3 linked regions of the Bombyx mori genome follow. The protein of the gene in region 3 purifies or fractionates together with the protein of the main gene of each other region. This does not show direct contact. Links are inferred from orthologs where the notes say so. Each region holds a gene or a part of one and is shown on either strand. Other genes may lie near its edges. The genes, in order: DNA polymerase epsilon catalytic subunit 1, probable cytosolic Fe-S cluster assembly factor GL21135 and NIF3-like protein.

Evidence for each region.
Region 1: the proteins of NIF3-like protein (region 3) and DNA polymerase epsilon catalytic subunit 1 purify together in Homo sapiens (affinity purification with western blotting; 3 studies listed by BioGRID, with this or other methods). This does not show direct contact. The link is inferred for Bombyx mori from reciprocal best matches to the Homo sapiens genes CIAO1 and POLE.
Region 2: the proteins of NIF3-like protein (region 3) and probable cytosolic Fe-S cluster assembly factor GL21135 purify together in Homo sapiens (affinity purification with western blotting; 3 studies listed by BioGRID and IntAct, with this or other methods). This does not show direct contact. The link is inferred for Bombyx mori from reciprocal best matches to the Homo sapiens genes CIAO1 and CIAO3.

Annotation. Positions count from the first base shown.
Region 1 is NC_085131.1:3,950,426-3,961,105, forward strand, and holds the start of DNA polymerase epsilon catalytic subunit 1, read left to right. Parts: upstream 1-481; 5' UTR 482-700; coding exon 701-783; intron 784-857; coding exon 858-981; intron 982-1,296; coding exon 1,297-1,515; intron 1,516-2,024; coding exon 2,025-2,254; intron 2,255-2,481; coding exon 2,482-2,802; intron 2,803-3,568; coding exon 3,569-3,669; intron 3,670-4,591; coding exon 4,592-4,733; intron 4,734-5,387; coding exon 5,388-5,520; intron 5,521-7,161; coding exon 7,162-7,275; intron 7,276-8,472; coding exon 8,473-8,647; intron 8,648-9,081; coding exon 9,082-9,349; intron 9,350-10,680. UniProt on the Homo sapiens protein: Catalytic component of the DNA polymerase epsilon complex. Participates in chromosomal DNA replication.
Region 2 is NC_085116.1:15,943,231-15,953,289, reverse strand, and holds probable cytosolic Fe-S cluster assembly factor GL21135, read left to right. Parts: upstream 1-443; 5' UTR 444-558; coding exon 559-624; intron 625-1,031; coding exon 1,032-1,246; intron 1,247-1,654; coding exon 1,655-1,800; intron 1,801-2,213; coding exon 2,214-2,372; intron 2,373-2,598; coding exon 2,599-2,847; intron 2,848-3,360; coding exon 3,361-3,562; intron 3,563-3,892; coding exon 3,893-4,050; intron 4,051-4,576; coding exon 4,577-4,839; 3' UTR 4,840-8,702; downstream 8,703-10,059.
Region 3 is NC_085116.1:9,593,340-9,604,609, reverse strand, and holds NIF3-like protein, read left to right. Parts: upstream 1-511; coding exon 512-639; intron 640-3,620; coding exon 3,621-3,752; intron 3,753-4,914; coding exon 4,915-5,091; intron 5,092-5,727; coding exon 5,728-5,921; intron 5,922-6,916; coding exon 6,917-7,101; downstream 7,102-11,270. Other genes in the region: uncharacterized protein LOC101736312, read right to left, coding at 7,518-8,427, 8,836-9,475. UniProt on the Homo sapiens protein: Key component of the cytosolic iron-sulfur protein assembly (CIA) complex, a multiprotein complex that mediates the incorporation of iron-sulfur cluster into extramitochondrial Fe/S proteins.

The sequences.
Region 1 (10,680 bases), on a different chromosome or scaffold from region 3:
GACTTTTTCAGTGGACTTTCCCAGCTATAATCCAAAGAGAAACTCAGCGAGCTGTATCTATGGGCTAGATTGCACGTTGAACTCTTGTGTTATACATTTTTGGGTTTAGAATAAAAACTAAAAAAGTGGTTGGCATATTATAAAGGGATGTTACGAATGCCTATTATTACCACCTTGGTTGTAGAAGAACCTATACAATATACTTTAAGACGATAATATTTTAAATATTTACGAAAATATTTTTCTTTTCAAAATTAAGTAAAAATATAATAATTTATGTCTGTTTTTTCATAAAAAACGCCAATCAAAACATAATTACGTATAGTCGTACTGAAGTGAATGAAAAACAATGGAATTGAATCTCATCAAAAAAAATTCAATTTAAAATATTTGTCGTATATAGAATAGACAAGGCTGTATGGGCTTAGATCCCTTTCTTTTCCTAATAAGGAAAAATTGCACGAAAAAAATTGTCTCTGGTCGTCTGTTTAGTTCGAAAAGTAAAATCAATTTCGCGGGAAATTTGACAGCGCTTAAGTGTCACTGCAGAAGCTCTGAATTGTTATTGGTCAGCTGTTTGAATCTATTTGTTGATACAAAATAATTTTGAGGAATTTACAAGGAGGTTTTAATATTATTAAATTATCTTGGATAATAATGGTACGTGATTAGTTTAATATTGCGAGGTACTTTTTTAATCATGGTGCTTCAAAATACTGGAAAATACCGACCCGATAAAGATGATTCTGCTAGAAGAGAAGGAACTTCTTCAGGTGGGCTCAAGTAAGTGTAGAAAGAACATTTATAAAGTTAATGCATTTGTGATATTAATTTAACGTTAAACTTAATGTTATAAGGGAAGAGTCATCGGAAACTAGAATTCGTGCCGCTCTGGAGAATGACAGAATTGACTCAAAGTATGGTTTCGATCGAGTGAGAGATTTAAAAGAAAGGACTGGCTACTTGATCAATATGCACACGGTAATTATGATTTGTAAATATTTAAATTCACATCTCCTCAACCATGAGAACGAGTATGCGTAAAGTTTCAATTTTGTAATTACTTTTTGTAATTTCAATATTGTAGAAGACTCCTACATTTAAAACTACAACACTTGTATAGTAAATTTCGTCATATTACCTTTTCACCTTGGTGAGTTGATCTCTCTTAAGAAAACACAAATTTTAGTTTTTGCATTAAAATTCATTTATCAGTGTAATAAGTAGTAATTACTTGAAAGACTTACTTGCTCCGATAAGAAGGGCTTAAAATTTATTATTAAACATTCCAACTAGGCTGAGGTACTCGATGAAGACAAACGATTAGTTGCTGCCATGGATTACTATTTCATAGAGATGGACGGTACCAGATTCAAAATTTCATTAATGTTTCAACCATATTTTCTAATAATGGCCAGAAGAGAATGTGAACAGGAAGTTATACAATACATCTCTAAGAAGTTTGCTAGTTCAGTGCAAAAGATTGAAGTATTGGAGAAGGAAGATTTGGACTTGGTATTTTGTGATAAGTTATTTCTATTAATTGTATCATTCAATTTATATAAGCTATTGTTAATTTGTAAATTGAATTGCTGAATATTATTCATTTCTTAAAATTATTACCTAACTGCCATAATAGGGTAATGTTTTTCTTTTTTGCTGATCCACGCAGATGAGGAGTTCACAACCAAATAATGTTGAGTACTGAGTGAAGCTCATAAACAATAAAATTAATGCAACTGTCTGTCTGGAACACTATACTTTAATTCTATTCCACATAATAATATAGTGGTAGTCAGTGTGGTGGAGCTTAAAAATTAAAGAGTTAGTTTGTTTCTATTTCACTAATTGCACTTGTTTGGTGAAAAGACTCATGGTCTACTAGGTATTAAAAGGGTACTGGTGTAAAGCATCTGCTCTATGGTAGAAATGATCAGCTGTGGTAATGTTACAAACTCCAACTGTAATTTAAAATGAGAAATTTTCGACTGTCCATTAAAAATAGAATGCAACTGTATTTTCAGATGAACCACTTATCAGGTCTGAAACAGCGTTACATAAAATTATCATTTATGTCTCAAAATGATATGATGAAAGTCCGACGGGAGATATTGACGGCAGTTAATAAAAATAAAGAGCGGGAAAAGAAAGATGTTATTTATGCTGAAATGTTAACTAATGCATTAACCAGTGCAGCAGCTATCGAACACGCTAAGAAAACTACTGATCACATGGAAAATATTTTGGACATCCGGTAAGTTGCAGAAACATGATGCTTCTTGAATGCCGTAGCTGAATTCCGTCTGTAGCTATTCAATTCTAAGTATAGTTCAGTAAGTCTACTTCTAAAATTCAATTTCTTTACTTTTATTTCAAATTACGTACTTCTAGTGGATACCAATCGAATTTTCTATTATTTCTATATAATTTTGTATTTTAAGTTTAACAAAAAAATCAATAAAGTGAACCTATTTTCGACAGGGAACATGATGTGCCATATCATGTAAGAGTCTCTATAGACATGAGAATATTCTGTGGCACATGGTACACAGTGAAATGCAGAGGTACTGACCCTCCTATTTTCACAAAACGAGATGACATCATCGAGAGACCAGATCCTATAGTATTGGCCTTTGATATAGAAACTACAAAACTACCATTAAAGTTTCCAGACTCGCAAACAGATCAAATAATGATGATCTCTTACATGATCGATGCACAGGGGTACTTAATAACAAACAGAGAAATTATATCGGTCGACGTTGAAGACTTTGAATATACTCCTAAACCGGAATTTGAAGGGTACGTTTCGAGAGATTCAATATTTCGTAGTTCTATTTTTCAGCTTCTTTGTCCTATAAAATGTTACAGAAAAGTATAGCATAGCATGCCTTAAATTTGTTCAAATAGAGTGCATGAAAAAATATTCTTGATTGTCATTTAACAACAAGTGCATTCTATTGTTTATAACTTACGGTACCTCTGAGATGTGGCAATTGAAAATATAACTAGTCCATGAACTCAAGGTTTGCTCAGCCAGCTATGTGAAAAGCTGTGCTTGGAACTTCTCTAAAGATTATCGTATCGTATCGCATGTCGTATAATTTGTCAGAGCGGTCGTGGTCGTCATCCAGTATCATTGGTGTGAGCAGATGTTGCGCGTCTCACGTACAATCGCCTCCTTGCGGTTTGTGGTGAGCCTGGTACACTCATGCAAACAAAAATTAACTAAGGTTATTTGAGGGAACTAAAATCGAACCGTCATAGCCGACAGAATCGGCCAGCTAGTGGCGATGGATTGGAAATACACGTCTTAGAACTAACGACCACTGGAATGGGTTTGAGGGTAGACCATAAACCGGCAAAAGCATGAAAGGTGCTAGCCCACCAGGTGGAGATGAACAGAGCAGAAAACTGGCCTAGTGACTCAAATTGGTACGCAAATGGGTTGCGAATTGGGTGCTTTATCTCAAGCAGTATGATTAACTTTAGTTCCACTTTTAAACAGGTGCCTTTTTACATTTTTCTTATTCGAATACAGAAGGTTAATATTTAATTACTTTTACAGCCAATTCATAGTATTTAATGAACCAAATGAGCTGGCACTTATACAGAAGTTTTTCGATCATATCATGGATGTGAAACCACACATCTTTGTCACATATAACGGTAAGGATAATTTGATAATTAAATTTTAAAATCTGAGCTCATATTGCTGAATTTTCACAACTTTCATAACAGTTGCCTACTAATATATGATTTAAACGATTTCGGTTTAGTTATTTTTGTTTTGTTAATTTTGACTTCATCATTGCGTCCCATCAAGAATATAGTCTTAAGTGGCATGTAAAAAAAGTTTTAAAGCTTTTAAATTATGTTTTTGTTGTGGCCTTGAGAACTATGCAATAAAAAGATCTGGACGCATATACGAATCTTCACTTCGATAAAGCGGCACGACACGAGAACCCTCTCTCATCGTGGCCGCCGGTAACTACATTCCCGATCCTGCGGAAAGAATGGAAAGCAGTCGACGTCGCCCCAAACACGTCAAATCGGATCCTCCCGATCCACTAACGGTGCTTTTAAGTACCTCAAGCACCGGTCACCGTTCTAGTCGAACCCGTCGCTTGCGACGAAAGGCTCGACGAGTAAATTAACCCTCAGACACAGCCCACTGAGTTTCTCGCCGGATCTCCTCAGTGGGTCGCGTTTCCGATCCGGTGGTAGATTCTGCGAAGCACGGCTCTTGCTAGGGTTCGTGTTAGCAATGTCGTCAGGTTTGAACCCCGTGAGCTCACCTACCAGTTAAGGTTCCGCTGATATAGTCTCTCAAGGCTATCGGCTTAGGTAGGAAAAAAAAGAAAAACGAATCTTTATTGCAACTAAGGTCTGATCTGGTGACGATAATGGTATTGCCCTTGTTCGTTGTGTATTAATTGGGTTATATATAGTAGAGATTTTAAAAAGTCACTCGTACCCCTTCAACTAATCAGACGTACTTTATGACCGGTTTTTTTGCCGAAGGATGCCGAAGGATAAGAAGACTTATTCCGAGAGTTATTTATGTTACTAATTCTAAATTCTGCTTTAGGTGATTTCTTCGATTGGCCATTTGTGGAAGCTCGTGCCGCGATTCTAGGGCTGGACATGAAGCAGGAGATAGGGTTCAGTAAGGTGACGTCACGCGACAACACGTACGTCTGCAGACCTGCGATGCACATGGACTGCTTATGGTGCGTAACAAAGAAACTGTATACAAGAAGTGCTTGCTATAAAAGATAAAGTCTAGAAATCAGAACCATAAAGTCGCTTTTCCGGATTAGGTTTGAACTATACAAAATTATGATTTAAGTAATAGTCAGATTGAACTTACAATAACTGATTATTGGTTTCATAAGTTCGACTTTACAATTTTGTTTCCATATTATTTTTATTTTAATGCTTCTGTGTTGTCTATCTTTCTAATTGGCCCCTAGTATAATATGTTAATAGTAGATAATAGTGAGTATAAATTACTGATGGGGCTAAGTTAAAAAAAAGGATGCCGAAATAATTGCACGTAAAGGTTTCTTTACGTTGTTACGTTTTATAAAAGTCGATAATTGTTTTTTATAGAATGGCTTAGTGACCTCCGAAAACTATAAGCCAAGCCAAGTATTATTAAAGCTAAATTAGTAACCGTAAGATAAAAACTTAAAAGTAGATTTAATTAAAAATAAAACTCATAAAAGACTACAAACACTTCATAGGAACTAGTCGAATAAACCTTTTTTTTTATTGGCTAGATGTGTGGACTCACAATAGGTCCTACCACCAGAAAACTTTTCACTATTCAAGTTTCAGAATTCAGATTTTAGTAAAAATTTAAACATTGATCTTCTCCGCAGCTGGGTGAAAAGAGACTCGTATCTGCCGGTCGGCTCGCAGGGCCTGAAGGCGGTCGCTAAAGCCAAGCTGAGGTACGACCCCGTCGAGCTGGACCCTGAAGACATGTGCAGGATGGCGTCCGAACAGCCTCAGGTAATACCAACGCAGGCACGAGACCGCATCCGCCGTAAGGTGTAATCATACTGCATCATCCGCTCTGCAATATGACGTCACACATTGTGGGGCACGTCGACCTCATGTCTCACGGAGGTCACATTCCCACTGCAACGTTTATGTGGTCCAGGAACTGCCCACTATCTTAAGCTCTGAGGCATTGATGCTGATAAAATTGTACTAAGTAATGCAATCCTTGGCCGATAGGACTTGTATTAATTTGTAATTCTAAAATATCCTACTGGAGTACTATACTAGGTGTACTTAAGTAACAACAGACCTGATGAATGTCGCAGGATTCGTTGCCAACATGGAGCCGGTGTCCAGCGAAGGACATAACGTAGTTTACTCAGACGGCCTAATTGTATAAATAAAGCTACAGGGGGTGGTTTCTCTTCCGCCGCATCCAAAATCTAAAATGCCCTGCCTCCGTCTTTGAGAAGTAGACTCACAAGGATTAAACCCATTTGGAGTAAATAAATGCAATTAAATAAGCGTTTGGCGGTGAGCGGTGCTACCCAACATACCCAACCAGATGTCCGAATAACAAATTGTCATCGTCCCCCTTAAAGACGTCATTTCGGAGACTCTCAATTCAGTCTGGGTGCGTTTAGGCATACCACCGGTCACCGTTCTAGTCGAAACCGTCGATTGCGAAGATGAGTTCGACGAACGAACTAGCCCACAGACACAGCCCACTGAATTTCTCTGCGATTCTTCTCAGTGGGTCGCCATTCTGATTCGGTGGTAGATTCTGCGAAGCACGACTCTCGCTAGGGCTAGTGTTAGCAAAGTATCTCAGACTGAGCCCCGTAAGGTCGCTTACACGTTTGGTTAAGCTAGTTATAACCCCTTGAAGTTATTAACAGTAGATAGGTAAAGAAATTCTCCATGGGGAGTGCTCTGAGGAATTGCTCGAGATGATACCGGCATCTCGTTTTTACTATCGTGCCGCCCGCCACCGGAGTAGAGTTCATCTGTACTACCTGGAGCCACTGCGGTCATCCACAGTGCGTTTCCAGAGGTCTTTTTTGCCACGTACCATCCGGCTATGGAATGAGCTCCCCTCCACGATGTTTCCCGAGCGCTATGACATGTTCTTCTTCAAACGAGGCTTGTGGAGAGTATTAAGCGGTAGGCAGCGGCTTGGCTCTGCCCCTGGCATTGCTGAAGTCCATGGGCGACGGTAACCACTCACCATCAGGTGGGCCGTACGCTCGTCTGACTACAAGGGCAAATAAAAAAAAACAGAAAGAAAATATCTGTAATATCGAACTAAGGTTGAAGTGTATGGCGGTAATAGCCACTGTTGCGAGTCGTGCGGACATCGGTGGGTCGCGCGCTGTCTCAGTCTCCGCAATACGAGACGGACTGGTGGTAGGACGTCTTATGAGTCCGCATGGGTGGGTACCACCACCCTGTCTATTCAGCCGTGAAGCAGTAATGCCTTTCGGTTTGAAAGGTGAGGACCCTAGAACTCATATCTCCAGTGGATGATGGCATTTACGTTCTAGATGTCTATGGGCTCCGGTAACCACTTAACACCAGGTGGACTGTGAGCTCGTCCACCCATCTAAGCAATAAATAAATAAAAAACGGATTCTGTGTAATGGTTTATAGGTGCTGTCGAACTACTCGGTGTCGGACGCGGTCGCCACGTACTACTTGTACATGAAGTACGTGCATCCGTTCATATTTGCCCTCTGCACCATTATCCCGCTGGAGCCCGACGAGGTGAGAAACGATCCTTATTAGCCTATATTATATCGGGGGGTGAAAGGTTATTTATTTGGTTTAACCGACATTTTTGCAATTTCACAGGAGTGCCATTTAAAGTTTGAAATTTGGAAAAAATCCATAAAAAAAATTCAGATATTTGTATGGATTACTTAATTGATGTTAAATTAAAAACATCGAATTTTTGATGCTAATACAAAATAATAAATGGACCTTTAATTATAAACATAAATGTCGCTTAAGCCAAATAAGCTTTTCACCCCCCCAATATATAATATTATAATATGTATACACTATTATATATTATAGACTGTATGTAGTAGTACACTTCGATAGTTTTCGTCGATAGAGAAAAAGAGTCCTTATAGTAAATCTCATAAATTCATATTTAGAAATAAAATGTTTAGGTGTATATTGTATGGCTTGCACGAGAAATCTGTCACTGAGCGGGATGTATTTGCCCGATACACTCTTAGTTCAGTGTGCTTAGTGCGAGTTTTTTAACGTTCTCGATATCGAAAAAGTTAACTCAAATTTGTATAGAGTTGGAACGTTGGCCGCTAGGGGCGCTGTTCCAACTCCAAACAAATTTTAGTTCACTTTTGATATCAAGAATGTTAAAAAACTAGCACTAAATACACATATCTTGTTCGAACTGTGTTTAAATGTAAACCTATCGTGTAAATTTCTTCTATTCTATTATATACTAAGACTACTATACGGTAGGCAGTGGCTTGGCTCTGCCCCTGGCATTGCTGAAGTCCATGGGCGACGGTAACCACTCACCATCAGGTGGGCCGTATGCTCGTCTGCCTACAAGGGCAATAAAAAAAAAAAAAAAAAACATGGGTATATTTTTTATTGATACTTAAGTTTTCAAATGCCTGTGTCATGGTTTTGGTTAGAATTTCATTTAAAAAAATAATCAAAGTTGGTATGTAATCCGCTTTAAAAGATCATATTGCTGTGTGCAGAACTATGCAAGACGATAGTATCGGCGAGCGCAGCTTTCCAATGAGTCCTACAATCAGTAAATAAAGGGACGGAGAGAGAAAGTGAATTTTTCACTTTTCGATGATAGTTATGTTTTGTACCCTGATTTCCTCTAGTTACTACTCGCCTTCCAACGCTCTATTTCTATTGCAAAGTGTGTTCCAAGTCAGTCCACGAGGTAATGTTCGTGTCCACGGTCAGGTACTCCGGAAAGGTTCCGGCACGCTGTGCGAGTCGTTGCTGATGGTCGAGGCGTTCCATGCGAACATCGTGTTCCCGAACAAGCAGGTGGAGGAGCTGAACAAGCTGACGAGCGACGGGCACGTGCTGGAGACGGAGACTTACGTCGGGGGACACGTCGAGGCTCTGGAGTCCGGTGCGTACACCACGATACTAGCGCCACCACGCGAGTAGAACGTACATCATTCATATCAGTTTGAGGTACGGCTGAGCTTGAGCTCTAGGTGCTCGATTGAGGGGTCACTGTGTTTACAGACATCACTTGTATCAGTCAATTAGTAAAATAAACGACCATGAATGCTCTAAATTATACTAGATTATATGTACTTGATTGTATATTAGAGAATATAGTACTTTCTACAAAGCTACAATGGGAGGGCGTACCTCTTGAATCTATTTCTTCTAAATAATCCGTACACAGAGTAAAATGTACATGTATAAATCTAATGTAATCTTCCAACTATTCCAAAATACCACAAAATACTCCAAGCTCGTCTGATGAATCCTTGAATGGTTAAATCTTTATTATTAATCGAATTTTCATTTAATTATGTCTTAAAATGCTTGTAGGTGTATTCAGAGCGGACATTAAATGCAAGTTCCGTATCGCCCCAACGGCCGTGGACAAGCTGCTGGAGAACACCGAGAAGACCATGAGGCACGCCATAGAGGTGGAGGAAGGTATACCGCTGGAGATGGTCACGAATTTCGACGAGGTCTGCGGAGAGATTAAAGCGAAACTACAACATATGAAAGAGCACCCGCGAAGGGACGAGAACCCTTTGATTTATCATTTGGACGTCGGCGCTATGTACCCTAACATCATATTGACGAATAGGTAATTCATCCTTTCTGGTATGCTATATGAAATGTTAATGAATGTAATATGGAGGCAAAATCAGAAGTAAAAGAAAAAAAAAACGTGTGGCACTCGGGAACTGCCGCGGTAAAGCTATTGCATGGCATTTTTTTTCAACTTATGCAATTATAATTACACAATGATAATTTAATATTAAAACAACAATAAAACAAGACCACGCTATATTAAACATTAACAAAAGCAAAACATTAACTGTTCCCTTCACACTCATAAGCTAGACCGCGCGAGAGAGAGATGGCAGACTTTTCATGATGCGCATGCAGTGTGACGTCACGCCACGCGCTTATTCACAAACACTACACAAGCGCAACGTGTGAATGTGTTGAACGCGAGTTACATGGTAGGCGGAGTGAGGGGTGTTAGGTTTTTTTCGTTACGGAATTTCATGATTATAAAAGCTATGCAATAGCTTAAAAAAATTTTTTTATAATTACTGGGACATGCTATTAGCGATGAACAAACAAGTAACAGAATCGCAATTGGTGCCAAATTTTCACTACAATTATTTCTTTTCGATTGTTAATGAATAGCTGTACACACTTTTGACACAAGTTCAAGATATTATTGCTAATATGAGAAGTATTTGTATAACAAAACAGACTGCCTAAGACCGATGTAAATGAAAGGATTTGATTCGAGCCCTACACCCCAGCAGAGGGTAATAAGAAAGAAAGAAGAAGGAGAATATGAAAAGTAGTCTCGTCTAGATTTTTTTTTTAAATTAGATAAGCATTGCCTCCTGCATATTGTATGTAAGTGAAACACAGAAGTCAGATCTGCACGAATATAATTATTAAATAAAAATAATAAAAGTTCTAACTGGAGTAATATCATAAAAAATCATTGAGATGTTTTTTTATTATTTATTTTTATTTATTTATTTATGTACACACAGAAAACAAGACACAGTACAGAGTAATAGGAAAATTATGTACAAAGGCACTGCTTATTTCTTTGAGAAATCTCTTCCAGCAGACCTGCGAGAGGATAATGAGAATAATAATAAAATGTGATAAGTGTGTGTAGAACAAATAACACATAACTAAAATAACAAATACAACATGAGAATTATAGCACATACACATAACAAATATTATAAGTAACACAGTAACACTCGTATATGCGAAGAGTATAGAACCATGATCATTCGGTTGATGATAGATAAAATTGTTTGACCTTGTATTTAAAAACAGAAACAGACTTGCAAACTCGGATGTCAGCCGGCAACGAATTCCACAGTCTGACCGCGTGCACAGTAAAGGAGTGAGAATAGAAATTGGTTTTGTGGG
Region 2 (10,059 bases), about 6.3 Mb from region 3:
TATCTAGCATGTGAATTTTAGAATATTCCTTTAATTTTCAACAATTTTAACCAAATGAATTAAAATAAAATACCGTTATGTTTAAGTTTATTTAAGTAACATTGCCTCATTTAGCTATATTTCATCATCATCATCATTGTTTCCTATTACCCTCTGCTGGGGTGTAGGGCTCGAATCAAATTTTTCCATTTATATCGGTCTTGGGCAGTCTGTTCTAGCTCCTCCCACGTCGTGCCCAAGACCCCTAGCTCCTGCTCCACCGAGCGACGCCAAGTTGTTCTGGGGCGGCCTCTCTTCCTTTTGCCAGACTCTTTCCAGATCAGTGCTCTATTTAAATTATATTTAAATTAAGTAATTTTGAAGTATTTTAAATTAAGTATCATTTACCATTTTTCATACAGAAAAAAAAAACCACAAACGTCATTTAATGTCGTAATTGTCGTATGTCATTTTCAGCTGTGTTGATAAAATGTAACGTCATAACCTTGCACTTTATCAAATTAATCGTACATCACATTTATTATTTACTTCATACCAAGACGCCTGTTCAATAATAAAATGGCATCTCGATTTAGTGGTGCATTACAACTTACGGATCTTGACGATTTCATAACTCCTTCACAGGTATGTTTTTTTTTTGTTATCAATAAAATCCTTTGCTGGCGAAAAAAAAAACAATTCAAATATAACTTTTTTGTAACAATTCATTTCATTTTAATTGAATTGTTATTAAAATTTTGTACCAATCTACTTTGATAATATAATTATTCATAATATACTATAATTTATACAAGCACTACTAACTATCGAATCAAAATTGAGACAAAAGGGACTTTAAAGTAAAAATTATTCTGAATTTAACAATCAGAGTTTTTATCGTATTAAGTTTTTTTTACTATTTCATACTCTATTTAAAACTAGTACTATAACAATAAATGAGTGAACAACTCATTGAGTATTAAGTATTAACATCAAGCAAACTTATGAAAGTGAATCAATCAGTAAATTTATCATAAAGTTAACATTTTTAGGAATGCGTAAAACCAATCAAAATCGACAAATCTAAAACAAAGACAGGTGCCAAAATAAAGATTGGCGAAGGTGGGTACTTTGATGTGTCAAGCGGAACAGAGCAGAAGTTGAAGAAAGTTGAAATCACCTTAGCAGACTGTCTTGCGTGCAGTGGATGCATCACATCTGCTGAGAGTGTGCTCATTACTAAACAAAGTCAAGAAGAGCTACTTAAGTAAGTCCTATGAGTTTTCATTACCAAAGAGAGTTTCTAACATAATATCACGAAATGCCTAACAAGTTAAAGAAGGAATAACTTTTAAGGTATAAAAAATAAGGGGGGAGTTGACGGGGTTATTAATTCCTGGCCACCTGGTCCAGAAAGATTATAGAAGCCTGTATATATCACTAAGTGAATGCCAGCACCCACTGTGAGACACTGAATCCAAGTATATTTCATAAGAGCTGTGCCATTCTTCAAACCAAAAGTATGACTGCTTTTTGGCAAAAACAGGTGCGATGACTGTAGTCCTCCCTACAAGTAGCACTAGACACTTAAATGAATAGTAGTTCCTATTCATGGAACAAAAATATAATTAATTTATTAATTATATTTTGCATAGTAAACATATTTTAATTTCAGGGTATTTTCAGACCGTAAATACACAGACAGTAAAGGAGTGGTGAAGGATGTTAGTTTAATAGTAATATCTCTGTCGCCGCAACCCATACTGTCACTAGCAGCTAGGTACAAGCTACCGCCTGAACATGCCACAAATAAATTAGCAGGTCTATATTTATAATGATATTGTAATGAAAACATTCCAGAAATACTCAGCAGAAAGTAACTGTATTGTGTTTCAAAATACATTCACATTTCATCACTTTGCTATGAATACAAATTAAATAAAAACTGCTCAGTTTGCAGTAGATACTAAATAAATTTTCTGAGGATTTTGTTTGACATATGTGATACATAAATGGCAAATGTATTGTATTCCTCTATTACAATGAAACTTCTTGTAACAAGGTGGGTACCAACAGTCACAATATGATGTCAATAAGCTCTGTTTGTAACCAAACACCAAGTGTCCCATAGACAAATCTAAAGGTTATGTAGATTTAATTGTAATAACAAATTACAAGATGGTTTGGTTATTTGGAGGTCCTTACAATGTCTAACTTTTAATTCATTATCACAGGGTACTTTAAAAGTCTTGGAGCAGATCTAGTTCTTGACATGACGATAGCAGAAGACTTATCTCTGTTAGAAGCACAGCAAGAATTTGTACAAAGGTATCAGGATCAACAGGCTGATCCCAATGGAAAATATCTTCCGATGTTAGCCAGTTCGTGCCCTGGTAAGCATGCTTTAGTTTGAGAATATAATTGGAAATATTATTGGTACTATATGCCTATTTCTGCTGCTATAAAATAATAACAATTAAAAAAAAATTGAGCAGTTATTAATATCTTACTTTATATTTCAAGTTGACGTTAGATGGTGGCTTTGTTCATAAAGATTTACATTTATACGAAAACTCTTATTAAAAACAATTAACCAACCAACTAATCAACAATTTTCAGGCTGGGTGTGCTATGCTGAAAAAACGCACGGTAACTTTATACTACCCTACATATCCACCACAAAATCCCCACAACAAATAATGGGTTCTCTGGTAAAGCAATACCTGTCCCGTACTAAGGAGCTTACTCCCGGAGAGGTGTACCACGTGACCGTCATGCCGTGCTACGATAAGAAACTAGAAGCATCTCGGGAGGAATTTTACAATGATTTGCTTAGCTGTCATGATGTAGACTGTGTCATAACTGCGAGTAAGTATACAATTGTTTATGAGAATTAATAATTCTTTCAATACTATTTTCTTTTATAATATTTAGACAGCTGTGCAATAAATTAATGAAGCTTCCTTATTTGCATTGTAATTTTTCAAGACACATGTACGGCTGATTTGTAATATCTGAGTCGTCTATTATCAAAGGTGGCAATCTGTGCATTTGGACAAAAAAAAATTATTGATATGTCAATACAGATTGATTTGAATATAATCGTCTCCTTCAAAGAATACGGTTCAAAACCTGCATTAAATAAAGGTTAATAGTTAACCTGTTATTTATCTAAGATGTCGTTCCGAAGAGTTTTGTGACTGCCAATGGAATACAAAGTCAATAATTCGTTTTTCTGATTTACCAATCATTGTCCAAAAGTCAGATTGCCGGCTTTGATAATAGTCGACTCATCTTACGATAAATTCTAGAAGCAAAATATATTAATAAATAAATGGTTAAACAAAAGTCAGGGCAGCCCTATAAATGTGACAATTTTAGTCGAGCTAGAACAAATGTTGGACAACAGCAACATGTCACTAAACGATGCGGAGAGCTCTTCGTTGGACAGTCCGTGGGGTGAAGGGGCAGTCCGCCGACACCGGGGCTCCGGCTCTGGTGGCGGCGCCGACCATGTCTTCCTCTACGGAGCCGAACAACTCTTTGGAGAGACCGATGCTCAACTCGTGTATAGGAATCTGAGGTGAGTCTGTTATGGTTACGTTAGAAAGACGAGGTCGTGGTGGCCAGCTGCGGAGTCGCCGGACAATGTTTGCGCAAGTCCACGCGTCAGTGGCGCCTCATGTGGTGACACAGCAAAATTACATTCTTTAAATGACCGATGAGTTCATAGTTTACGTGCAGTACATACACGTCATGAGCTAAAGGTCGCTAGGCTGCTTGAGACAAGAGGCTGTGGCTTGATTTGAATAAATTGAAAACTACCAGGTCCATTGTTATTGTTCTTTGGTCTTTGTAATCAAACCGCATAAAACAGAAATATGTATATGTTTTGCTTTATAACATCTTCCAGGAATCCAGACTTCAAAGAGGTGACTTTAGAGAGAGACGGCAAAGAGGTGCTTCGTTTCGCGATCGCCAACGGCTTCAGAAACATTCAGAATCTTGTCCAGAAACTAAAGAGGGGGAAGTCTCCCTACCACTACGTCGAAGTCATGGCTTGTCCTTCAGGTAGGTAAATTAGGAATAAGGACGCAAAGGCTTAACTATCCGATGTAGTCAGAGATAAGAAGTAAGAAACCAGATCGTGAGTGAGTTGGCTACTTTTTAACCGACTTTAAAAAGAAGGTTCTCGATTCAACAGTTTTATTTATTACTTCAGAACTTTTATCTTCGTGAATTAATTTGAAGATTTTTTGATTTATTTATTTGAAAGCTGATACTTCTCTTGTGATCCCATTTCAATTTTATCAAGATTTGACCTATGGTTTTTCTTAATAATACTTTTTTAATTGACCCAATGTAGTATTGTTGATATTTTCATTTTACTACAGTTGAAGTCGATTTTCTTTGTTGTTAACTAATTTTGTTTTACGGGCAACTAGAGAATGTTATGAAAAAAAAGAAATAGTCTGAGCAACGTTTACGAATTTTTAAATATTTAACCTTTTTTGTTATGCTAAAATTTGGACAGGTCAAATTAGCTAGCTGTGTAATACCTAAAACAGTATTATAATAAGGCCGCCCCCGCTCTCAGGTTGCCTCAACGGCGGCGCCCAGGTGCGGGTCGGGGGGGGCCAGGCGCGGGCCGCGGGGGGCGAGGCGGGGCGCGAGCTCGTGCTGCGACTAGAGACGCTGTACTCGCAGCTACCGCTGGCCACGCCCGTCGAGAACAAGTTCCTGAGGAAACTGTACACGGACTGGCTCGACGGGAAAGATTCGGATAAAGCCAAGGCCGTCCTGCACACCACGTACCGCGCCGTCGAAAAGTCCGATATCGCCCTTAATATTAAGTGGTAGCTGCTCACGTTGACTGCCCGGGAGGGGGCGCCGCGGGGGGTTGGGGGGACCAACTTCTAATTCCACTTTATCATTGTAGGCCGACGAACATACGGCCTACCTGACGGTAATTAGTCATCGTCGCTCATGGACATCAACAATGCCGAGGACACAGTCAAGCCGCTACATTACCGCAGAATTAACGTGGTTCATTACCCTGTGCATTACTTCAAAGTGCAATTGAATTCAGAGTGTTTTCGTCAAATGTCTTTATTTATACTAGAGTTATGTTTCACAACTAGGCGACTAAATATCAATATATAAAAAAAAAGTCACCATTATTTTCTTCAAAGTTACATGTAATTGCTTTCTCGGACTGCATGCGGCAAACGGCTCGGATAACCATTTAATATCAGATAGGCCATGAGATTGTCCAACCATCTTAGAAATTAATAAATGACTTCTTTCGTTTAGTTAGGCCTATCATACGTCATCTTTCCACTCACACCCCAACCCCCACTTCAATGCCCACACTTCACGTATTAACACTACACACTAAGTACGTAGCGGATCTAACTACTTAGTACAGTAAAAAAAAAAAAAGAAAACTCTTTGAGTAGCACGAGTAGGTATAGAAGCGAAGCCGAAGCGAAGGTATATATTGATATACTGTACCCGTCCGCTTCGCTGAGCATTTAAAATTAACATTTTTAACACTAAAATTCCGACCGGTGGGGCTTTTGTGAGTTTTTGTGAGTTCGGTGTTCCGGGCTGTTTGCGAAGAAGATATGGAAATGACACTGATTTGTATGTGGTTTTAATAGAAAAGCGTCACAATAACTAAAATAAAAATAAAAAGTTAAGAAAAGCTAAGATGTACAATATTTTGCCGGTCGACATCGCGCGACAGAGCTCTGTCTCAGCGGGGGGCAAGGCGGCGGCGGGGGCGGTATCGCACGTTCGGATACTTGGTTCCGTTATATCCTCCCCCTCCGAGTCACTAGAATGCCTCGTTGGTGGCTCGGCAGAAGCAACAAGACGCGGCCGTCCACGCAGGCGTCGAGGCTGTACTGGAGCCGAGACCTGACCGGTTTGATTACGATACGGCTTCAAATGAGAAGCATGAAATTTCCCTAAAATCTGCGAATTCAAATCAGTAACCTCATAGGTAGTATGACTAATGATATTGCTAATCTGGTAGGGTCCTTCACGCTTATTCATGAACTGCTTCGTTCTACCTTTGGCGGCATCACTTAACAAGTGCATAGAGAGAAGGACTAGATCACCTACTTGGTAACTGGGACCAGATAACCGACTTTTGTCGGATTGCAACTTCCTATCATCTTTATGATATTCAGCGTAAGGCATTGGGTCTCCCCCTGGTGTGAAGACATCCTCATTGCACTGCAGAAGAGTAGCTAGGCGGTCACGCTCGGGAGGGTACAGCATAGTTTCCTCGTTTTCTCTTAAAAAATCAACAGCGGAACAAGGCGTGAGGTCACCGGAATACTCGAACTCCAATGGAAAAACTCGTTCAAAACCTTGGTAGCGCCATGTCGAAGTATCGAAGTCGAAGGCTAAACCAGCTGCTACTAAAAAGTCTACACCCAATAATGTGGCATTATCCTGAGCGTCCGGGAATGCGACGAATTCTATGAGAATCATCTTACCCGGTAATAACTTCACATCAAGTGTCCTTGACAGCATTTGTCGTGTTTGCATTGAACCATCGGCGAGCTTAACACGCATAGAACTAGAGAAGAAAAGGCTGGTTATGCTGTTGCAGTAAGGCGTAGAGTGAAGAACCGGCAACAGTTAATTTGGCTGCGGTGTCGATTAAACCCCTACCTCGGATTCCTAAAATCTCTATACCTAAAATAGGTCGTCGCGCGTTGCCATTTTGCGAAGAAGTTACAGACGAAAAGGTGACAGAACTATGACCATTAAAATTTGGCGCGGTGGGTGTCTATTGTTTTCTTGGGCGCCTCGCTCGCTCTATTATTTGCCCATTTTTGTCTCGCTCTATTATGACTCGCTCCCGCTCTCGTACGCCAAATCAAAGACCACGAGGACCAATCTTCAAAATAAAATATTTACAATTTAACTTATTTCTACGTTTAGCCTATTTCTATTAACAACTTATTTGTATTTAGTTGGACATTCTCTATTTCTATTTATTTGTCACGGACATCCTCTTATTTTATAATATTTTTAACATATCTTAACTATTCCTAATCATCATGTCCGTCGCGAACATTTTAATACCAAATTCCTGGTTTTGTCCCGAAAAAATAATGGTCGCCCTACTCGGTGACGGACCACGTGACGTTTTACATTTATTTCTATTATTTACGATGCACTGATTATCACAAAATTCACTAGGAGATACTGATTTAAATTCGCTAGGTACATGAGGGCGGTTAAAACACTCCCCCTGCTTAACAGGACGAGATAAGGATGTAAACAAGGCATATCGTCGGAACGCGGCGAATTTGAATCAATTTGTTTATCAACATGTTTACGAGACGAGTTTACATTACATTTACGGGCAAAATTATTATTTCCGGGAGGTGTACTTACATTAGTACATGATACCAAACTTGGCTGAGCAGTGTGTAGCGATGACTTAACATAATTTGGGCGCTCAGTATGAACACTACTGGATAAACACAAGTCAGGTACAGCCCCAGTAAAAACCATAGGTAAACTTTCAAAATTACACATCTGGGTGGACGGCTTACCAACATCTGTGTGCTTAGTGCGAGTTTTCTAACATTCTCGATAGCGTATAAGATAGCTCATATTTGTATGGAATGGGATCGTTTGCGTACGTTTGCCGCTAGGGGCGCTGTTCCAACTGCATACAAAATTGGGTAAACTTTTACGCTATCCAGATCGTTAAAGAACTCGCACTAAGCACACTGAGGTCTCAGCGGTCGTTGTACTTCGCGATCGCGTTCGCGGTATTTGAATGAAGTCGACCGCGGTAAAATTTGAACTACACTTGGAACAATTAGAACGTATTACTCCGCTCGCGCCGCTGCGCCGCAACCGTAACATTTATTTTTTACTCTACTAACTACGTTATCGTTACTATCATTCGCGGTTTGTTTTGATAACAATTTTCGACACTGATCACGCGTTTTCTTTTTCCTACCTAAGCTGATAGCCTTGAGAGGCTATTTCACCGGAACCTTAACTAGTAGGTGAGCTCGCGGGGCTCAAACCTGACGATGTTGCTAACACGAACCCTAGCAAGAGCCGTGCTTCGCAGAACCTACCACCGGATCGGAAACGCGACCCACTGAGAAGATCCGGCGAGAAACTCAGTGGGCTGTGTCTATGGGTTAATTTACTCGTCGAGCACTTCGTCGCAAGCGAGGACGGTGACGGTGCTTAAGGTACCTAGAAGCACCGCTAATGGATCGATACATTTTTTTTTTATTGCCCTTGTAGGCAGAGGAGCATACGGCCCACCTGATGGTGAGTGGTTACCGTCGCCCATGGACTTCAGCAATGCCAGGGGCAGAGCCAAGCCGCTGCCTACCGCTAAAATCAAGAGATATAACAATTCAGTGCCTTTTTCATGTCAACATCAAAGTACATAACATGTATTATATAAGATGAATGTAAATCTAGAGGTGTCAGTTACCACATATTATGGTCTGATCCGGTAGAATTCGTACAATTGTGCGCGTAAATGCTTCCCTTCGAATATCAATAACACTAATTATTCTTGATGTTCTGTTATTTCTATTTATTATGTATTCTATTATATTTAGTTTATTCTAATTATTATAAGAGGATTAGTGATAAGAAAGACGATAGTTGTGATTTTCGTGTAACTAAGTTATTGAATAAATACGTTTGGTAATAATATTGAATCTGTTGTTTTTATCCATTACCTACGCATTTGATTGCCGTAAGAACGGCTGCTTTCTAAATACCTATTTAATTGTTTTCTATTGTTTTCATAAGCCAATCGGGACAATGTATAATGTCAATCTTTTTTAATTACTTTAATGGGTTACGAAGCTCACGGCTCACTTGGTGCTAAGTAGTCACTAGAACCCACCAACATTAACCACGTCAATACCGCCACCCACCTTGAGACGTGAGTTCTATGGTCTCGATTTTATAGTACAACGATTACTCCACCCTTCAAACTGGAACGCATTATTGCTTCACGGCAGGAAAAAGCAAGATGATGGTACCCCACCGTGCGGGCACACATAATACGCTATCACCAGTAATTCGCCCGGTCATCGTTCTCGTCGAACACGTCACTTGCGACAAAGGGCTCTGCGAGTAAATTAATCCACAGACACAGCCCAAGCACTGAGTTTCTCGCCGGATCTTCTCAGTGGGTCGCGTTTCCAATCCGGTGGTAGATTCTGCAAAGCACGGCTTTTGCTAGGGTTATTGTTAGCAACGTCGTCAGGTTTGAGCCCCGTGACCTCACCTACGTGTAGGGTTACGCTGAAATGGACTCATAAATTAGGTGAAAAAAAAGTAATTCGCGTTTAATTTAAAAGTAGCTCTGTCAGGACCTAGTCGATTTAAAATGTAATGTTAATTAATTAATTAAAATGCCTATGGTAAATTTACCAGAGGCATTTTTCACATTATTAATTACGTTCTGACAATTTAAAAACGTCGGTCACGCCTTCTAAGCTCTACATACTCTACTCTAATTATCTGATAACATGGTATATTTTTGGTATTTCCCTTGATTAGACTGTAGAGGGTTAGTAGTTCAATGTCCACCTGATATTAAACAAGTGGTTACGATCCACGGACCTCTGACAAAATCAAACTATGATACCTGGTGCTTACAAGCACAGGCGATTCTCGTAAGATACGATTTATGGGAATACGCTAGTGGTGCAAAAGCGTTAGCGGCAACTACGACTGCCGAAGAAAAGAGTGCGTTCATAAAGGAAGACTTAAAGGCAAGGTCAGAGCTAATTTTACTTATATCTCCACCAGAACTGAAACAAGTTAAAGGGTGTAATACATCCAAGGAGGTATGGGACAAACTTAAGTCTATTCACCAAAGTTCAGGGCCGGCAAGAAAGGCTACGTTGTTAAAGCAGCTAGTATTAAAGAAAATGACTCCACAAGAAGATATGAGAGACCATCTCAGTAATTTTATGGATGTAGTAGGTAAATTAGAAGACATGGATGTCAAAATTCATCCAGAGTTATTAAGTATAATGATGTTGTACAGTTTACCTACAA
Region 3 (11,270 bases):
ATCTGACAATTATTATGAAATATCAACTTCTTTAGATCCAATCATTGAACTATACAAAATACCCACAGTCAGGTTTTTTTTGGTATAAGAAACGGTCTTATAATATGAATTAACAAAACACTAAAGTACTATATTATTACACAATATACCATATTAAACTATTACAAACCATATTAAAAATTAAAAGTGGCATTATAAAATTCCAATTTATAAATTAAACATCAGTTAATTGTTTTTATAATGGAGTAGTTAGTTTTAAAGATAAGGAAAAAGGAAATAAAGTTTGGATTAAAATAATGATGAAAAACAGCATTTATTATTTCACTGAATCTTTTCAAAATGCCTTTTGGTAAAATTTAATTTTTTAACAATGTTTTATTTCAAATTTATTAGTAAATTTTACATTTAAAAATTAAACTTTTTTCAGATATTACTAATGTTCTTTCAGTTAGGCAGGCACATTTTAAAGTCAAGAAATTCAAGGAATCACTTGTTCACACATTTTATCAAAATGTCAACTGAGAAATTCTGTGCAGTGTCTTTGGAAAGAGTAGTAACAGTACTTGAAAAATTTGCTCCAAAAGAATTGGCAGAGAGTTGGGATAACACTGGTTTGTTGGTGGAACCTTACACACCGAGGTATGAGCAAATTTATTCTTGACTACAAATACCCACTAGCAGTAACAAAAAAAAATGTTATTCATTTAAAATTATGTACTATTATAATAATTATATTAAGGTAGCTACTGCCTCACATAGAAACTGGTAATGACAGAGATGCTAAGCCTTACTGTGTATTGCTTTAGTCTTTAGACTTATTGTAGAGGATTACACAGAATTGGCCGTGTGGTGTCCGTGTGGTGTGGCCTCGATAAAGAATAATACCGGGCGACTAACGGGTTATCCAGAGAATGAGCGGCAACGTTCTCTGAGTATCATAACAGCATACTGCGATCGCCAACCCGCATGCCAAGCGTGGCGATTATGGAAACCCCTCCCAACATGTCTGACACAAATAAAAACCGCCCAGTCCTCGGCAGCTCCGCTATTCCTGGCTACAGTAGCGGTCAAGGTAACGGCGGGGCAGGGGGTGCTAAGAATCTCCGGCAGAGATCCGGCTACGTAAAAAACGACGATTGGACCTGGCAACATATAACGCGCGAACACTGCGGACCGATGAGAAGATTGTGGAACTCGAGGAGGAATTGAGCAGGTTACGGTGGGACATTGTGGGCTTATCTGAAGTCCGAAGAGAGGGAGAGGAAACGATAATTCTGAGGTCCGGTAACTTGTTCTATTTTCGGGAAGGTGATCATCTGTCTTAAGGTGGTGTCGGGATTATCGTCCACAAGTCCCCTATGAATAATGTGTTGTAAATCGAGAGTGTATCGACCAGAGTGGTTGTACCTTGTACTCAGAATCACCAAAAGGTATTCGTTGAAGATAATACAGGTTTACGCTCCGACTATGTAATAGGACATTTCCAGAGCCATGCATAGCTCTACAACTCACTTCACCATTGTCATGGGGGATATCAACGCCAGACTCGGTAAACGGTGCGAAGGGGAGCTGCGAGTAGGACCATTTGGATTTGGGCATCGAAATCACCAGGGAAACTTACTTGCCGATTTCATGGAGAAGAAAGAATTATTTATGATGACCTCTTCAGAAAACGGGGTCACAGGAAGTGGACCTGGATGAGCCCCAATAGCGCTATCAAAAATGAGATTGATTTTATTATGTCGCAGATTTTATTATGATGTCTCTGTGATCAATACGATTAAAACCGGAAGTGATCATCGGGTGGTAAGAGGCACAATGAACCTCAATAAACCTTGAGAGATTCCGAGTTATGAGGTCTACGCTCCGTTCAGCACCAGCTCAGATCCAAAGTTCTAGACACTTTCAGCTCGAACTTCAAAACCGCTTCGAGTGCCTAGGAGGCTCCGTGGACGATTACAATAACGGGTTTGTGAATGCTGTCCATACGATCGGTTCCAAGATTTTTGGAACCCGTCGTGCAAACAGAACCAAAAAACTCTCAGACCCTACTTTCAAACTCATGGAAGAACGTCGCGAGATGATTATGCAGTCTTGCAGAGATGTTATTTCTCCGAAACTATTTACCGCTGCGTTGGAAGACATTTTCAAAGTTCTGAACTGGAAAGGGCTAGCATAAACATCATCGGCGAGTACATAGTTCGCCGACGATATTGTGACTATGGCCGAGACCTTGGAGGACCTTAGTACAATGCTCAAAGACCTCAGTAGGGCTTCTATCCGAGTGGGCCTGAATATGAACATGGAAAAAACAAAAATTATGTTGAATGTTCATATAGCGCCCACTCCAGTAAAAATTGGAAGCTCTACGCTCGAAGTTGTTGACGAGTATATTTAACTGGGACACACTGTCCTGCTAAGTAAGTCCAACTTCGAAAAAGAGGTCAATCGTCGAATCCAGCTTGGATAGGCAGCGTTCGGAAAGCTACGTAAATCTTCTCATCACAAATACCACAGTGTCTCAAGACGAAAGTCTTTGATCAGTGTGTGTTGCTCTGAAATGTGGTTGCTCACAATGGCCCTTATGAGAAGGCTCAAGGTCACTCAAAGAGCAATGGAGAGGCTATGCTTGGAGTTTTCCTGCGAGATAAATCAGAAATGAGGAGATTCGCAGGAAAACCATGATAACCGACATAGCCCAAAGAATTGCGACGTTGAATTGGCAGTGGGCAAGGCACATTGCTCGTAGAACGGATGGCCGTTGGGGCCAGAAAGTTCTTGAGTGGCGACCGCGTACCGGAAGACGTAGCGTGGGCAAGCCTCCCGCAAGATAGAACGACGATCTATTGAGATTCGCGGGAATCTGCTGGATGCAGGCAGCGCAGGACCGGTCTTTGTGGCGAGACTTGGGGGAGCCCTGTGTCCAGTAGTGGACGTCTGTGGGCTGATAAGAAGAAGAAGACATAGAATTGATAGATAAGTCTTAAGTATTAAAGTTATGATTACCTTCATGCTTTGGGTTGAAATTGTATGTGCTTTGAAGTTTCAAATTATAAACTGTCAATTCAGCCGTATGTAGGGTATATAAAATATATAGGCTAAAGTGTCTCTTTGAATAAAGCCAATGATGACATTATTTGAGGATTACCAAACATGTTTGATTAAAACATGGGTATATAATTATTTTTCATATATAATTATATTATATTATTTCATTGAAAATTGGTTTTCTGTAATCAGCTAACCTATTCCTCGAAAACCTTTTTAATAAAAATAAATAAAATTACATGGCCAATGCCCATTGCACTTTTGCGAATCACAAGATTTAAAAAATACAGTCTATTCTCAAACACAACCAGTGTGGACTAAAAGTCACTCCCCTGTTATAGAAAGATCTATACAGAACACAAAGTGAGGATGCAACTATAATATGAGTTGATGATGTAGAAGTGGTACCAGCTAAAGTCAAATGCCTGTAAGTTCAGACATATAATCGCCAAACTTATAAAAATACTTTAAATAAATTTCCATTAGTTAATTTGACAAATTTAAATTAATTTTCTTTATGTTTTTAATTACCTATTTAAAATATAATATTTTTTTATAATTTTCAATTCCAGACAAATAACCAAAATTTTGTTAACTAACGACTTAACAGAAGATGTGGCCTTGGAAGCTGAAATTCTGGCGTGTGAGATGATTATTTCATATCATCCTCCGATATTTGCGCCTTTGAAGTCTATTGTTCAGCGGTAATTATTTATATAGTTCTAGTCACACGTCTTTGACGCTATTTATCACTTTGTCAGCATAGTATCCATATATTTTATATTATCAAATGAAAGTACAGTCAAACCTGGATAAGCGAGAGTTCAAGGGAGCACAATCTCATTCTCGCTTATAGAGGTTTCTCACTAACCCGAGTTTCTCGCTAATGCTCCCTCTGAATTTCGATTCGCGATTTTCCGCATTCAAATGCATTCACTATTTTAAGTTTATGACTTTAATGACAGTACTTTAATTTTCCGTTTTTACATGATGCAGAACAGAACTTTCCTTCGCAATTGATTAACGATAATCTGAGTAAGTCCGACAAACAGGACGGTACACAGGCACACGTGTCCATTCGAAAATAATGCGATAAAAGAATACGATAAAATAACAACGTTATTTAGTTTCACGAAATAGAATAGGTTCAATATTCACGAGAAAACAATACAAAAACAATGATAATAAGTTCCACGAAAGTTAAAAATGAGTCATAAAATAGCAAATGTTAAATTTGTAATTTGTTTTGTCATTTGTTCTTCCTAAATAATATAAATAAATAAATAAAGCTCGGCTGTCGCTTATAGAGGTATAGATAGGTAGCAGTCTCACTTACGGAGGTCCATGAGGAAAAAACGACTCTCTCTTACAGAGGTTTCTGTTTCTCGCTAATAGAGGTTTTGGGAGCTTAAAATGACGGGTCCTTGCTATTACTCTCACTTATAGAGTTTTCTTACTTATCCAGTTCTCAATTACCCAAGTTTGACTGTATTAGTTATGACTAAAATCACGGTGGACTATACGTCTGGGAATTGATTATTTAAATGCCAAAAAGCACGGTGGCAAAAGTGTACCGTCTGTAAAATTGTAAATCTGAAGGTTACCTATCCATATTAATATAATAAATATAAAAATGGTATACACATTGTGCGTAGAATAGAAAAGGACTGAGAATACCTTGTATTTAGACTTTTAGTGTACTATTCCCGAGGGATATTTTTTATACAATAACGCTAGCCGAAACTATTTTAATAGAATGTTATAATTATATTATATTATATTATATATTTATATTATATAACTGTTACAAGACTTTAGATCAAGTCTATTTACAACTTGGCGATTTCAAATATGTATTTTTTACAGTTCGTGGAAAGAACGGGTTGTATCTTATTTATTAGAAAAACGAATCGCCCTGTACTCGCCACATACTAGTTGGGATAGTGTGCAAGGCGGGGTCAATGACTGGTTGGCATCTGCTTTCTCTGTCGCAGAGTCTAAGCCAATTTTACAATCAAACAACCCCGACTTCGGAGCCGGCAGGTAAGCTATGTTAAAAGTTCGCCCAATTATAAGAATTTGATCGCAAACACTGACCTCATAATGTTTGCATTAATTAAATGTAATTATTATTGTATTATTGTAATAATTTATTATTAATATTTTTTTGATTTTCGTCGCTGTCAAACCAAAATCTTCTATGTGCAAAAACTCTATTTTGAATTAAGGAGTAAAAACATTTTCGTATAAAATTTTATAAGGTGATTTTTTAAGAACTATATCAAATGAAAGCTATATATAAAAATTAAAGCTATAGACACATAACTGTTTTTTTTATAAGGTATATTTTTTATAAAGATAAACTGTACGAAGATAGGCTGTAAACTATACGAAAATGTTAAAAAGTAAAAATCTCAAAAAGTGCACATAGCAGATTTTTGTTTGAAACGACGTTTTGCTATTTATATTTAAGTTTGAAAACCAGAGAAGAGAGTGCTACTTATCTGATTTGTTTGTTATAAATATTATGGATTCTAAGGAGTCTTTGAAATAATCGCCGTCTTCGGTATTTACCAAAGAGTTTCGGTTACAGCCGTCGCAACATTTAGCACGAGTACCCTTTACACGTTAGATCAGGAAGACATCGGCCCTAAATTAATTGAGAATATTTTTTTGTAGATTACTTCATTTGAGCACCGGAATCCCATTATCTGATGCAGTAAACAGAATTAAGGAACTTACACGACTCTCCCATGTCCGCATCGCTGCCGCAAAGGGAAAGTCTATGACGCACACCGTTCAGAGGGTAGCGTTATGTGCCGGATCCGGAAGTTCGGTATTAAAGGGAGTCGATGCTGATCTTTATTTGACAGGTAGTATATTATAGTATAATAAGCTGATAAATTCTATTAAATTGATTAATATTTCATATTATTAGATGAACATTTAAATCACTTTAAAACATCATGTATAGGGAGTAAGGTAGATTCTTTTCGAACGATCGTCATTATATTATGCAGGGTGGGAACACTGATAGGCGTCCAATAGGGAAAGAGGTGCTACCTGTAAGTCTGACTGATTTTGTTTCGATCAATAAGAAATGGATGATATTATTGGCTAAAGAAGTACCTGAAATTTCATTACAGTTTATTCAGATATTTCCTTTTTCGATAAGCATACTTTATTTAGTATTTTAACGAAAAACATGCAACAACATAATGTTATGTTATTCTATTTAATTAAAAATGTATTGTATAATATGTATACTTTTATGTCGTACATCTTATACTTACACATTAATGTTTTAAATTATATTAACTTGGACAAGAAGTACGTCAACGATATTTGGCCCCTAACAGAAGTACCATACCCGTCCCTCTGAGGATTATCTAAAATTTCATGCCTTAAAAAAAAGTAATATATACATATATATATATTTATTTTTATTTTTTATTGCTTAGATGAGTGGACGACCTCACAGCCCACCTGGTGTTAAGTGGTTACTGGAGCCCATCCACAGACATCCACAACGTAAATGCGCCACCCACCTTGAGATATAAGTTCTAAGGTCTCAGTATAGTTACAACAGCTGCTCCACCCTTCAAACCGAAACGCATTACTGCTTCACGGCAGAAATAGGCAGGGCGGTGGTACCCACCCGCGCGGACTCACAAGAGGTCCTACCACCAGTAATTACGCAAATATTATTATGATTATGTTACCTTTATACTTTATCGTATAAAAATATGATATAAATGAAACAACCAATAAAATCACTTGTTTTGGAGCTATTTCTGTGCCCAAACAAAAATATCAACTAAAGTGATGCTGACCTCTAAATGATGTATATTGAATTCTTTTTTTGCAGGCGAAATGCTTCATCACGACGTACTTGATGCAGCTCAAAAAGGTATAACAGTTATATTAACGAATCATTCGGACTCCGAAAGAGGGTTCTTGCGAGGATTTGCAAATTATTTACATAAAAATTTGAATGAAGAAGTTGAGGTTTTCGTAAGCAAAGTCGACAAAGATCCTTTGATAACTGTGTAAAAAGTCTGCTAGACGTACAAATGAAGATAAAATTAAATAGGTAGTTTTTGTAAGAAATAAAAGAAATATTAAATATAGTTATGTTTTATTTACCCAAATACGTGAGCGTACTTGGTTGTATACTCCAATCAAATTGGTTTGTTAAAATAAAGTTGCGAGATCATCTTCCTTATTCTATTTAAGTACACTCCATATGTAACTCTACGTTTTAAAGTTTGTCCACTTGGTCACTGTATTTAGCTTACAATATCTGGCAAGACCTTTCTATATAAACTTTCGTTTTCACATTTTTATCAGCTTTTCTCTTTCTACTCGTTAGTTTTGGATGATCTGGAAGTTGCACTGAAATATTTCCATTTTAAATGAAGGCCGGTTATATTTGTGTTAGAGCGTTCATTAGTGGCATGCATACAGCTTTACTTTCGTAGCGCTATTTTGTTTATTGTTTTAGGTTTTAGTATCTGCCCTTTTGGACTATCTAAGATTTCTTTTGAGATCTTTTTCTTTCTATAACTACCCCCTGGGCTGGTTGTAACTTTACAAACCGAGGACACTGTTCCATTTTTGTCATCATAGTTAATAACATACTCACGTCGCCTTGGAGATTTGGATCTGTTTCGTTTTGAATTTATATCCTTATGTTCGTTTTTTATTTGTACAGATTTCATTTCGTATACAATTGTGTTTTGATCCATTTTCTTTAGTGGATCTGATTCCTTGGATGTATCTTTAGAACTCTTCTTATTTTTATCGTATCCCGCAGATTTCTTCATAACTGGTTGTGATTCTTTTTTGCAATTATCGTCAAGTGTTTTTTTCGTTTCATTTCTATCTGGACGACAGGGCGAAGATGACGTTCGATTTTCAACTTTCGACCTTCTAGGCGTGGATACTTGCCGTACACTTTTGAACGAAGTTTTATGCGCCGCTTCAAGATCTTTTTCGTTTTCCATTTTACTTACATTTTCACCTTTATGTGGTTCTCTGGTTTCACTACGTTTGTTTGTGATCTGTGAAATCCTTCTCAAACTGCCTATCCCATTGGTATTTTGTGAACTTGACTTTGTATTTCTGTCATTATTGCTCAATTTCGATGTCTTAACGTCTTCGCTTTTTTCCTGTCTTTTTACATAAGTTTTCCTTGTAGGAACTTCTGGTGTTATTGACGTTTTAGGCTTTAGTTTATTTTTGTCATAAATAATATTAGATTCCCGTCCTGGGTGTAGGTTCTCGTAAATAGGAATCATTTCTTCTATTTTCTTAGAACGAGGGGTAGCAATTGTCACTTGGCTTTCCACAGCTTCTCTAACTGTGCGATTGACAGATCTGAAATAAATAGATTATATCTATGAAATAATTCTTTGTCAAAACTAAATAATGGGCTTTTCTGGTACGGCACACGGTTTAATCGAATAGATGGGAAAACACGCCATGGTTATTTGGTAAGAATAGAAAATCAATCATGCTTAATTAACCTCCTAATTCTGGTCTAAGAATAAGTGGTAAGATGTGCTGCAAAACCGCACGAGTGGTACAATCGCCCCGTTTATTTCTACTGTGAAATTATTGTGCGTTCGCTTTGAAGAACTTAACAGAATTTTATTACGCAGATATATACTATGTATATCTTATCTAAGTCTTTAAGGGGTTGAGCTTAGGATCTTTTGTATATATTTTTGTTTTTAAGTTTTGTACTTCATTCCAAATAATTAAAAATATTCGTTTCAAACTTACCGCGATGGCGTATTTGCTCTCAATGACTGTTTGGAATTTGAAAAAGCTTTGTCTCGTTTCGGTGGTTCAGATAAGCTTCTATTAGCAGATGCTGTATGTTCTTGCCTTCTAGATTTTGAGCGTCGCGTTATAGATTTTACATAATCATTTGTTTCAGAACGTTCATGTTCAATAATTGGCTTTAGTACTTTGACTTCGTGGATTTCGTTAGGTTTATCTTCATATCTTGTACGAAGTCTAGGCTTAGGAACTGGGATATAGTTGTTGGTAGCATGGAAGTTTTGATATTCAGGTACGTCATCAGATTCAGCTTCACTATTGCAAACGCTGTTTGAGACTTGCTGAATTAGTCTAACAGATTGAAAGATATCTTCTATAGCAGAATCCTCTGATAGATTACTTTTAAATATCTTTGATTCAGTATCTTCCTTTCTTCCCTTATTTACTCCGAAATACGTTAAGTCACTTTCTCGTAATTGTCTTGCTTTCGTCCTGTGATCATTGGAAGGAGAATGTGCAGACTCGAATTTTGTTCGTAATAAGTCTGTTTTGTTTAATTTTTCCACTTCTTTTAGAGGTGTTTTGATTTGATGCGAAATTGGCTCGGTAGCAAAGACATGATTCTTGTTTATTGTGGGACCTAAAACATTAAAAGCGTCTGTGCTTAGTAATAGTCTGTGTCAAGTGATTAATACATTGATTTTTATCAACTCTATCGAGAAATTGGCATTGGTTACTGTACAGAAATAAATCCAACCATAAAGAAAACCACTGTACAAGCCTGTAGCAAATACTAAAAATAGATCAGGATTGTATCAAATCCTTTGATTTTGAAAACGAAACCCATTGATTTAAATATTCAACTCTCTAACGAAACCATTGTTTTGTTGGATTAATGTAGATAGACTGTACTGTGTGTTATATCGGGAATTCATGACCTATGAAAATCCTGGTAAGACCCTATAATAGTCTGTATCTATAATGCACATATCCGTGAAAGTTTAAAACAATTCGTAAATTAGGTTAATTATTATATTATTTATTTTTTAAATTATAAGGAGAGAACCTTGGATCAGGAATGCTGAATACCAATTTAAAGAGTTCACAAACTATTTCCACGATAAAAAAAATCCCGGGTGTCAGAAGATCTTAAATGATGAACTATTCATTCAGCTATCAAAAAGTCACATGGCCCGGAGAACCTCGAGTTGGCTTTTTTTTTTTTTAACTTAACACAGGGGTGTTAAGTTGCGGCGGAAGTTCGAGCGCGGAAGCTTCAATCTCGGCGTTCCGTGCTCGAGGCGTGGTCTCGCCGCCTGGCGGACCCCGCCTACGGGCGACAGACCGTCGAGGCGATCCGCCCGGTCCTCTCGGACTGGGTGAATCGCGACCGAGGACGTCTCACCTTCCGAGCGACGCAGGTGCTCACAGGACACGGCTGTTTCGGTCGCTACCTGCACCTCGTCACCCGGAGGGAGCCGACTCCGAAGTGCCACCACTGCAGTGGCTGCAACGAGGACACGGCGGAGCACACGCTCGCGAACTGCCCCGCTTTCGCGGAGCAGCGCCGCGTCCTCGTTGCAAAAATAGGACCGGACTTGTCGCTTCCGACCGTCGTGGCTACGATGCTCGGCAGCGACGAGTCTTGGCAGGCGATGCTCGACTTCTGCGAGTCCACCATCTCGCAGAAGGAGGCGGCGGAACGGGAGAGGGAGAGCTCTTCTTCCCTCTCGGCGCCGTGCCGCCGCCGTCGGGCCGGGGGCCGGAGGAGGGCGTTTGTCCAGCTCCAGCCCCTATGATGAGGCAGTCTCCTCCCGGTGATGGTCACGGGGCGACCTAAGGGGGTTGAGGCTGCGCCGCACGCTACCGTCACTCTAGCGCGCTGGCACCAGGAGGACGGGACGGCGCGTCGGCGGCTGCGGACTGCGATGCGGTCCGCATTTTCGTCGTCGCTGTCGTCGCCGAACATACTGTTGAAGAGCAACCCGGTCGGCGGTGTATCGCGTTCCGACCCGGCAGGCTGGTTCTGGCCCAGCGGGGTATCCCGGAACACCAGCGGCACCGCCCGGGTGGCCTGGTAAGGCCGCCGTACCGCGGAGACTGACGTCGTTGGTCGTCGACTATCGCCTCGACGACCCGTCAGTCGGGCGTCCTCGGGGTGGCGCCGCGTGTCTGGTTGTAGTGTTGACCGCGGGAACCCCCCTACTCTGAACGGGTTCTGACCCCGGACGGAGATCGGACGTCGGGTGTAAGAGTGCAGGGGAGTCGTTTAGTGGGTGGGCCCTAAAATCCTTGGGCCCGCGATCTGCTCTCAACACCTGCAGATCGTTGAGTCTCACATACCCCGCGCGCCCCCTAGGCGCGTGGACCTCGTAGGAGGTTTGGCCCCCGGCCCGAAAAAAAAAAAAAAAAAAACGGTTGTTAAGTTATTAAGT